2 linked regions of the Coturnix japonica genome follow. The protein of the gene in region 2 binds, or shares a complex with, the protein of the main gene of each other region. Links are inferred from orthologs where the notes say so. Each region holds a gene or a part of one and is shown on either strand. Other genes may lie near its edges.

What was found. The genes of interacting proteins can lie anywhere in the genome.
Region 1: GTF2A1 (region 2) and DNA-directed RNA polymerase II subunit RPB11-a share a complex: the UniProt entries of both Homo sapiens proteins name them as parts of the TBP-based Pol II pre-initiation complex. The link is inferred for Coturnix japonica from reciprocal best matches to the Homo sapiens genes GTF2A1 and POLR2J.

Annotation. Positions count from the first base shown.
Region 1 is NC_029534.1:3,079,110-3,084,280, forward strand, and holds DNA-directed RNA polymerase II subunit RPB11-a, read right to left. Parts: upstream 3,204-5,171; 5' UTR 3,125-3,203; coding exon 3,072-3,124; intron 2,935-3,071; coding exon 2,845-2,934; intron 2,740-2,844; coding exon 2,565-2,739; intron 1,612-2,564; coding exon 1,576-1,611; 3' UTR 1,233-1,575; downstream 1-1,232. Other genes in the region: LRWD1 (leucine-rich repeat and WD repeat-containing protein 1), read left to right, coding at 71-195, 876-1,016; ras GTPase-activating protein 4-like, read right to left, coding at 3,325-3,446, 3,551-3,600, 3,672-3,792, 3,864-3,999, 4,068-4,205, 4,277-4,588, 4,657-4,794. UniProt on the Homo sapiens protein: Core component of RNA polymerase II (Pol II), a DNA-dependent RNA polymerase which synthesizes mRNA precursors and many functional non-coding RNAs using the four ribonucleoside triphosphates as substrates.
Region 2 is NC_029520.1:37,077,003-37,082,425, forward strand, and holds the start of GTF2A1 (transcription initiation factor IIA subunit 1), read right to left. Parts: upstream 3,680-5,423; 5' UTR 3,427-3,679; coding exon 3,397-3,426; intron 1-3,396. UniProt on the Homo sapiens protein: TFIIA is a component of the transcription machinery of RNA polymerase II and plays an important role in transcriptional activation. TFIIA in a complex with TBP mediates transcriptional activity.

The DNA of each region.
Region 1 (5,171 bases), on a different chromosome or scaffold from region 2:
GCTCAGCTTTATAATAGAATGGACCCTCAGCTCCACTCTAATTTCCCTGCTTCTTCTTTTAATCTTACAGCAAAACTGCATGTGTTCTGCGGTGATGAGAAGGGAAGTGTGTGGATTTACCACCTCTCCGACTACACCACAGCATGGAGCTCTGCCAAGGGAAAACACTCAGACAAGAGAATCCCGCCCACACAGGTAGGTCTCATTTACCCTCTGTGTCAGAGCTGTGCTTCCCTTCCTCCCCAGGGCAGCTCTCTTGAGTTTCACACCAGAACATGCCTCGTATCTTCTCTACCTAACATTCACAGCCAATTAAAACCAATCTCCAGAGTGTGACCAAGGTCACTTCCAATCACACACACAATTATGACAGGGATTATGAGCTGCAAAGCAAATTTGTTCACTCCTGTGTGCTGCAGCTTGTCAACTTTTCCTTGGGTAAAGGCCTCTCTGTAAAAAATATGATTGTTTGACTATATATGGCCTGGCAACACAAGCTGTTCCTGCGCTGCTGTCTGGTGTGCAGCCACTGTTTCCCTGTCTGGATGAGTGGAGGTAACAGCAGCAGCTGCTCCTTGGTAGAACTGCATGTGGGGAAGGGGAAGCTTCTGGCCTGTGTTCCTGCTTCTCTTTTGCTCATTCTTTTCCTGAGCACACTCCTGCTGTGGGTCAGTAGTGTGCCCTAACAACTACACATTCACAAAGGCTGTGAGGCACGTGTGGTCTTAGCTCTAACTGTATCTGGTAGGGATGTGACCTCTTTGGACCCCACCCAGCTCCAGTTGTCAAACCAGGCTTTGCAATAATTGATATTGCCCAAGTTTCATGGACAATGATACCATTCCTTTCCTACACAAACTCTGTTCTCCCTGTAGATTCTCAAATGGCCGGAGCTTCAAGCAAATGGGGAACACCTGAGCGAAGTCTACATAAACAACGTGATAACAGACCCTACTTTCACTTACCTTGTTGCTCTCACTAGTGTGAACATTACAGCCATTTGGAAGAAGTCATAGTTCCTTGTTATAGAAGTTCATTCCCCGTGTTTTGAAATAGTGCAGTATTAGTGACTGTTACCCATATAACCATAAAGTTTTCTAGACCAGCTGTTACGTGCAAAAGGTAAAAGAGTTCGTTAAGCACATCCAGTCATCCAGGCTTTTTTCCTGTAAGTTTACACAATTTGTGCATTTGTTTTATAGAAATGACACTTAATAAAACAAAACAACAACTCTGCTGGCAGAATCTGAACTTCTTGGAATGGGAAACCAGGGCTGTGACCCGTTATTGCCACTCAGCATCTCCTCATTGCCATAAGGGCAGTGAGACTGAGCTACAGCATAGTGCACATAGTGACAGTGAGGCTCCAGTTAGAAAAGTGAAAACCATTTTAGTGAATTAAGCCATGAAATCAAACAAGACATGTCAGATACAAACATCCCCTCCCAATACTGCTGCCAAAGTCAGTAGGACTGGAAGGAAAGTAATTGGCATTGAATGAAGGTTTAAATAAAGCATTTCACTCAGACACATCGTTCTTCATCAGCAGTGTATCACACTAAGAGCAGGCTGATTTCACTCGATTCCTTCTTGTTTGTCTTTAATGGCAACCTGTAAAGAACAGAAACAGAACCGTCAGTGGATGGTTTAAACACTGATTTCATCAATTTCACATCAAACAACAACTGCATGAGTTCAGGGGAGACCTTATTGCTCTATAACTTCCTGAAGGGAGGTTGTAGTGAGCTGGGGGTTGGCCTCTTCTCTTGTGTTATCAGTGATAGAACTAGAGGGAATGGTTTTAAGCTGCGCCAGGGGAGATTCAGGCTGAACATTAGGAAGTTTTACTTTGCGGAAAGGGTAGTCAGGCATTGGAATGCACTGCCCAGAGAGGTGGTGGAGTCACCGACCATGGGAGTGTTCAAGAAAACGTCTGGATGTTGTGTTGTTGAGTATGATCTAGCCGGGAAGTATTGGGAATGGTTGGACTAGATGATCACAGAATGACCCGGGTTGGAAGGAACCTCAAGGATCATGTAGTTTCAACCCCCCTGCCTGGCAGGGCCACCAAACATACACATTTACTAGATCAGGTTGCCCAGGAGACCCCATAGATTCCCCATAGAGACCCCATAGATCAGGTTGCCCACGGCCCCGTCCAACCTGGCCTTGAACACCTCCAAGGACGGGGCATCCACAACCTCCCTGGGCAGCCTGTTCCAGGGCCTGACCACTCTCCTAGTGAAGAACTTCCCCCTGACATCCAACCTAAATCTTCCCTCTTTTAACTTCAAACCATTTCCCCGTGTCCTGCTATTGTCAGCCCTTTCCAAGAGTTTACTCCCCTCCTGGTTATAGGTTCCCTTCAGGTTCTGAAAGGCTGCAATGAGGTCACCCCGCAACCTTCTCTTCTCCAGGCTGCACAAACCCAACTCCCTCAGCCTGTCCTCATAGGGGAGGTGCTCCAGCCCCCTGATCATCTTCGAGATGGCAGCAGCTCTGGGCTGAGCCCTTCCCTTAGGTTCAAAGGATGGGCTTCTCGCAGTGCTCAGAACTGAGCTCACCCTGAATCTCTCCTCCAGCAGGGACAGCTCGCTGATCAGGTCGGTGATGGCGTTGGTGAAGGCCTCCTGGGGGCTGTAATCCGGGGTCGTTTGGACGCGGATGATGATTTTATGTTCCAGGGGGTGCGGGACCTTGTAACCTGCAAACAGCACCTGGGGGTCCTTCAGCAGCTGCCTGGGGGAGGAGGCAAAGCAGCAGCAAACAAACATACATTAATAGATGTAAGAGCTTTATAAGAGCCCCAGCACTTGTAAGCAGCGCCCAGCTCCCTCAGCTCACGACTTGATGATGTTTCCCAGCGTGTGATCCTCCTTGTTGATGGTGAACAAACAGGCGTTGGGCACCTTGGTGTCCTTGTTGATGGTGATCCTACACAGCACAGGGGGCGGCGATTCACTGCCACAGCCCGGGCGGACATGGGGGGAACCGGGGGGGCACGGGACGGTCCGGGCAGCCCCCAACCCCCCACCGGACCCCCCCCATCCTCCATCCCGCCCCCTACTCACTTTTTCTCCCCTTCGAACAGCAGGAACGACTCAAATGCTGGCGGCGCGTTCATCCCGCCGGCTCCGCACCGCTCCCCGCAGCGCACACAGCGTCACTTCCGCCCACAGCGCCCCCTGCCGTGCGGGCGGACCGTGCGCAGTGCGCTATAAAGGCACGGACACGGAGCGGGTGGAGCTGCGCATTTATTGCCACGCTGCGACCCCCCCCCCCCCCCCCCCCCCAGCCCCATCCCGGCACATCCCGGTCCGTCCGTCACGTCTGCGGCTCCGGCAGCTCCTGCAGGGGGGGCTGGGCCGGGGGCAGCCGGCGGTGACAGCGCTCCAGGTCCTGCAGCGCATCCAGGAGCCGGCGGAGCGCGGGGGTCAGCGGTGGGGCTGGGGGGGGGGGAGAGCGGGGCGGTGAGACCCCCCGGGAATGGGAGCAGCCCCAGAGCACAGCGCCTATGGGGGGGATGGGGAGCTGGGGGTCCTTTCTCTACCTTCTCCGTTCTGAGGGTCCCCCGGCTCCATGAGCTGCCGGCACTTCTCCCTGCGGATAAAGGGGCTGTTGGCCGCGGGGCAGGGGGCGCTTTGGGGGCTGCCCCCGGTTGTGGGTCCCACCTGAGGGGCTGCTGCAGCCCGTGCAGGTGCTGGAAGAGCCGCTGCGCCTCCACGTCGGGCTGCAGCGGGTCGGTCCAGTCCTGCAGGGTGATGCTGTGCCGGGTCCGGCCGCAGCCCGGTCCTATGGGACAGAACAGGGGCTGAAAATAGCGGGGACATCACCACCCCCACCCCCCACCCAGCAGCCCGTACCCGTCCTGTCCTTCTGGTGGCAGCAGCTCCATTTATCCCCCCTGAAGACCCCGGGGTGGTAGGAGCGCAGCAGCTGCGGGTTGTTGCCGCACACCTTCCTCAGCGCAGACAGCCACTGGTTCAGCTCATTGACACACTGCGGGTTAAACAGCGAGGTCACACAGTACCCCAATGGGAAACAGCCCCGTCCCCATCCCAGCCCACCTTGCACTGCAGATACGCCGTCTCCTGCTGCCCGGCCTCATCCACATAGACCACCTGCATGACGTGGCAGCTCCCAAAGCTTTTCTCCTCCACCTTCTCGGCCGCTCGGATGTTGGCCAAAGCGATGGAGCCGCATCTCTGCCATTGGGGACACAGCGCTCGGTGCCCTCCGTGCCACCATGGGATCCCACCACCCCACGTCCCCCTACCTCTGCCCCGGGGCTCTTGCTGAAGCTGAGTGCCTCGCTGGTGAGGCAGAAGTGCAGCTTCTTGGATGCAGAAGCAAGCAGCGGCCCTTTGCCCCGTGTCTTATGGACAAACAGCAGCCCCTCCTTCACCACGTTGCTGCGGGGGGCACAGGGCTGCTCCTCTCCACCCTCCTCCTCCTCCGTGCCCACCAGGCGGGTGATGAAGGCCCTCATCTGGGAGGCTCCGTGCTGCAGGGCGGGCTGCAGCGGGGCCAGCCATTCCTCCTTGGCTCTCCCTGCCGCTGGCTCCATGTTGCCCACCATCTGCACGGCCTGCAGACCACGGCATGGTGGAGTCGTTGCCCCCAGTGCCACCCCGCTGTGCCCATGTCCCAGCTCACCTTGGCCAGCAGCAGCAGCGTGCGGCTGGTACGTGCATCAGCGTGTGTCTCCCTCAGGTGGAAGAGTTTGGGGGTCATGATGGCGGGGGAGAAGAAGCGCAGGCACAAGAAGCTGGTGACAGCCACGAACTGAGTGTGCTGCAGCCACCGGGGGCAAGAGATGTGTGAGGGTCCATCCCCATGGCACCATCCCTCATGATGCTTCAGGGTTGGATGATCCTCACAGCCCACAGAATCACAGAATGACCCAGGTTGGAAGGGACCTCAAGGATCATGTAGTTCCAACCCCCTGCCTGGCAGGGCCACCAAACATACACCTTTACTAGATCAGGTTGCCCATGGTCCTGTCCAACTTGGCCTTGAACACCTCCAAGGACGGGGCATCCACAACCTCCCTGGGCAGCCTGTTCTAGGCCCTAACCACTCTCCTAGTAAAGAACTTCCCCCTAAGCCCACCCAGTTCCAACCCCCTGCCTTGGGCTGGTTGCCCCCCCACCAACTTAAGTCACCCATCA
Region 2 (5,423 bases):
AACTACCTACATCCCTGGAGCTGAAAGATCATCATTTATTTCATGCACTGCTTACTCAAAAGCTGAGCATGGGCACGTAATTACTAAATGAGCCCCCAGTGGGACAGCTGGTGACTTGCATTTTGTCATAAATTTTCACATTCAGTCAAAGAAAGCAATGAGAACATAACAGAAACTTAAAAGATTGCTATTAAAATAATCGTGCTTTCATCTGGTTTGTATTAAAGTGCTTCCCTCATAAAGAGCGCATTACTGTAAACTTCAGGCCCTTTTAAGAGCAAACACACTCAAATCACTCTTCAATAAACACTACTCCAAACACTTACTAGAGATTAAAGACAACAATTAAAATTCCTGATTTATTAGATGCAACCACAAACACATAGAAAAGATTTGAAATCTCATATGTCCCCCTCCAGGAACATACGGAAATCATTATATTTCACTTTCTCTGTATATCTTGTAAAGAAAAGAAAACTCTGAGCATGGTGAGACCACTACACACACATGCACTCCAAATCAGAAGAGCATGCAGGGAGCTATTTTAAGCAATGCCACATGCCTTTGGGGGCTGCATTTCCTACATTCCATCAGTTCCAAGGGTACAAAACCCGCACCTCTTTCTAATTATTGTTACAACTGTCAGGATTTGGGCAGTTTGGGTTTCCAATAACCAACACATTACAAAGGAATACACACTGCACGCCTTGTGCATCTGACAGCAGTTTTCTCCTAGTTACTTCTGCAGTTATCCCTGAAATGTTCCCCATCTGTTTCTCCTGTCTGTGGGAATACAGCTATGGGAGCTGTGTGACATGAGAATGCCACGCTGCAGAGGTAACTACTTTTAGTCACAATTACACCAAAGAAGAGTGAAAAAGAAGTAGCACATACAGGCTACACTGTAAGCAATTAAATGTGACACCTGTCACACCTTTACAAGGTAATTACCTTTGTCACCTACAAAACCTTATACCACATAAGGTATGTGCATCCCTTCCTGGGAAGGACAGATTTGATTAGATGCTGATGTCTTACTATGACACACCAGGTCCAAAATCTGCCCTGCTGAAGTTACCAGCTGGCTGCAGTACTTCCACACATTCTTGCTCATCTTCTGCAACTCTGAGGTACATATGGTTATCACTACTACAGAATAGAGCTGATTTTCAGAGTGCTGCAAAATTGTACCGTTTCCTTGGGATTCAACCTAAAATGGGAGTCAGGGTCATTTTAAGTTCCTATTATTCTTAACACTGTGATCAAACACAAGCACTTTTCAGCAGAAGTTGTGCTGTGCTAGGACAGAGATGCAGCACTGATAAGCCTCAGCAAGTTGTTATAACAAAGATATTTGTAAGTGCTAAGATGATTATTCAATAAAAAGATGTATTTACCTATTAGGTAATAACTTGGTAGAAAAAGAGACGTGAAACATCTAACTTACTGTAGAGACAAAGAACCCTTCCTGTCAGTTAAAGAAAGCCAGCAGGTCATGGGCAGAACAGCTAGCAGATTTGGATCACACACATTAAGTATCCTACCAGCAGCTGACCTGCATGCAATGGCACACTGCTGTCCCACATTTTGTTTCAGAACAGCTGATAAAATAGCAAAGCCATGCTACTTCCTTGCTTCTCATGTCTCCAGGTTACAGGTAAGATTTTGGATTTAGAAAGGAAACTCTGTATCATTTCCTTCTGTAAACTTCTCTGTAATACTCAGAACATTCTAATTAATTCAAATAATAGCAGAAATTCCAAAATCTTCCAAAATATCAGTGTGCCGCATCACCTTCAGTTACCAGAAGCACACAACAATCGTTCACACAATCTGTGCCCAGGACCAATAAACAGAACTTCAATATTAATGCTGCTTTCAGTATAAGATCTGTACCAGACACTGGCCAACTGCCATGAAACAAATCCTGCATCTCTCCTTGCCATGCTGGATAAGAACATCTAAATCCTCCTTTCCCCATCCAGCAGCAAAACAGCAAAACTCCATGGAAGACCATAAGGGTACAGAGAGCTGCATGCTGTGGACAAAAAAATACACACGCTAATAAATAAAAAAAGAAATGAAAAAAAAAAATTAAATTAAAAAAAAAAAAAGGGGGGGGGGGGTTGGGATGGGGGGGGAAGGTAAGCGTTTTCAGAAGGCTGGGAGGATGGCGGTGCCCTCTTCGTGCAAGGCACAGCCACCCAGCACCGAGAGCCGTGGGCAGTGCCGCTGCTCCCCGAGTGCGGAGCGAGGCAGGAGCACAAACCCGGCTCCGAGCGACAAAAAGCACGGCCGGCAGCCTCCGCCGCGATGCACGCACCTCCCAGCCCGCTCTCGGCGGCTCTCTCCCTATTTAAAGGCTGATGTGGTGTTTAAATGGAGAGGCGGTGACGTGGGGCTGGAAAGCACCTTCCCATCCTAGCAGAGTCTATATTAGAGAGCGGCAATGGCTCTATATAAACAGGGCGGCCGCAGGGAGGAGGAACACAAGGAGCGGGCAGGCAGAAAGGCAGGGGAAGCCATGATGGATCCGAGCGCCACAAGCAGGGCCGCGCCTGCCGCCGGACGCCGGGTTTGTGCCGCCGGCGCTCGGGGCGGGGGTCGGGGCCGGGGTTGCGCCGGGGACGGAGCGGAGACCGAGGGGCGATCGGATCGGCCGTGCGTGTGACTGCTTATTGCGAACCGGAGCGAGCCGTCCCGCAGCGAGCCGCCCGCCAAGGTGCAGAAAGCACGAGAAGGGACACAGGGGGGCGAGAGTTTTCTTTGTAAAATAAATACTGCCTCGCTCGCTGCAGAAAAGTTCCGGGCCGGGCCTGGCGGACCGCTGCCGCGGGGCTGGGACAAGTGCTTTTCAACCATCGTCTCTTTCCGATCGAGCAACATAAAATGGCTCCAGCGGAGCCCGGGCTGCCGCCGCCACCGCGGCCACCGCCACCCCGACACCCGGCTCGCTCCCGGTCGGGCGCGGGGCCGGCGGCGCTCGCTCCTTCCCGGGGCGGCTCCCCCCCCCCCCTCCCGACCCGCCCGCCCGCCCCTTCCCGCCGGACCCCGGCCCGCGGCGGGCGGCCCCGGCCTTTTCCCCGCGGGGCTCCGTCCGCCGCCCGCCCCCGGGCCGCCGCCCCGCGCCCCCCGTTCCGCTCCCGCCGCCCCACTCCCGCCGCCCCCGGCTGCGCTCTCCCCGCCCCGGCGTCGGGCGCCACAAGTTGTCTGCTGCTGCCGCCGCCGCGCGGGGAGCGGCCCGGACCCCGCCGCCCCTTCCCGCCGCGGGCCGGGGGGGAGGGGGCCGGGGCGGCCCGAGGGACGGGGGTGCGGGGGAGGGGGCGGCGAGCCCCGCCGGCCCCCTCCGCCCGCGCCGCCCGCGGGGTCCCCCTCGCCCCCCGGCCCGGTCCTTACCACGGGGTTTGTGTTAGTCGAGCTCGCCATGTCCCGAGCCCCCCGGGACGCCCCCAACCGCGGGGGGGGGAGTCGCCCCTAAAACAATAAACCTGCCCGGCTGCGTCCCCCCTAAGCCCGCACGTCCCGCCCGGGCTCACGGGCAGCCCCGCGGCCTGGCCCGGCCTCGTTCGCCGGCCCTGGGGCTGCAGCCGCCGCCGCCAGCCGCCCGCTCTGCCCGCTTCGCCCCTTTATATAGCGAGAGCCGAGCAGCTGCGCGAGCGGCCAGACCGAGCGGGGGACGCGCGCGGGGGGGCGGCCAGATACCGCGAGAGCAGCGAACGAGAGCGCGCCGCGCGGGGCGCCGTCACGTGAAGAGCCCGCCCCGCCGCCATGACACTTAGTGAGGCGGAAGTACACAGGGAGGTCGCTCTCCCGCTTGCCGCTCCGCCCGGCGTACCGAGGCGGAAGTCTTCGCGCTGTCCCGCCGGGCGCTGCGCCTCAGTCCGTCCCATCGTGCGACGCCCGCAATCACGGCGCTGCTGGGGGCGGCCCGCCTCTGCTCTGCGGCCCGGCCGGCTGCGATGAGCCCAGCGGGATGCTGCACACCGCGAGGCGGCAGCTCATAACGGCCCGGAGCGAGCCGGAGGCCAGCGAGGGACATGGGAACGCACATCGCGTCCGCTCGGTCTATAGGAGCGGTTTGCTCCTCGGTGTCAGCCCCTCACTGTGCAGTTCCAGGTACGCAAGAGCCCTGCCTGGCCCAGCAGGCGCTGGTACCTCTGGTCACAGGCCTTGAGCTGGCCCTGCTACAAGAGCCAGGTCCCGGAGTGTTCAAGCTCTTGTTACCTGGTCTGGTGACAGGAATCGTGGGCCCTCACTCTCAGAATTGCCTCTTCAGCAGTTCCTCACAAAATCTGTGGCACTGAGAATTCCTGGCTGTACCGTTTGGCTTGGCTTCCATTTTTGCCCTTTTAATTGCCTTTTCGTCCTTTTCCATTCCCTTTGCTTATCCCCTTTCTCCATGGCAATCTGCAAGATGCATGTAATACAGGAAAGCATTCTCAACTACGAGGATCCTTCCATCAGTTAACTTCCCTGCTGCCACCTTCACCAAGCCCTTAGGATAACTTCTGAATACAGCTTAGAGCTCCAGCAGTAACCCACCTGTATAAGACCTGCTCGAACATAAATTAAAAGCAACACTGAATTCCAGCTCTATGCTCAAGGTATTATGTTACATCAATCTCCACAGAAAACAAAAACAAACAACAATAAAAAACCCAACATGCCCTACAGACCATATTTGACACGTTACCTTCATTCAGAAGTCCCACCTACTAGCTAGACCAAGCAACATGTTTACAAACTCCTGTCTGGTAGCCTAAGACCAGAATTAATTTGTTAGTGGATACAGGAGACCTTCACATTCCATACTTCTAAATGCTTTAGTTCTGTGGTAGCGAGCACCTCCTTTCCCTTCTGACAGGCAGAGCTTTTATAGGCACGTGATTGATTTACAGTGGACCAGCTGATGAACCAGCTCCACTGTTCATGGCACATACTGCTGGAGCTCCAACAAAAATTACATGGGACAGAGTTTTACCATCCTCTGCTGTTAATTATACATTTCCTTCTTGGAATTTTCCACTGCCACAGCACAACCAACAGGAGTGATGAGAGTTGGTATCCGTAGCTCGTGAGCTAACCTTAGGTGTATTGAATGAGCAGCAGGAATTGAGGTGCTAGTGTTACTTCACCCTGACATCTCCAATAAAAAGGCAGTAATCTCTTGCAGAGAGTTTGTGAAGTGAATCTGTAAACTGTCCAACACTCCTGGCTGGCCTTCCATTTTCTACACTTTAAATAATTGCAAAAATGATCATGTAAAACTTAAATATATGTATATACTCACACACACATATATATATACACATCAGTGAGGGCATTCACAGTCAGAGTTCACAGATAGTTTTAGCCACTGAAGTGACTGCCACTCCACCATAGATTAATCAGATTGCAGTTGATACCCTTCCTCTTTTCAACAT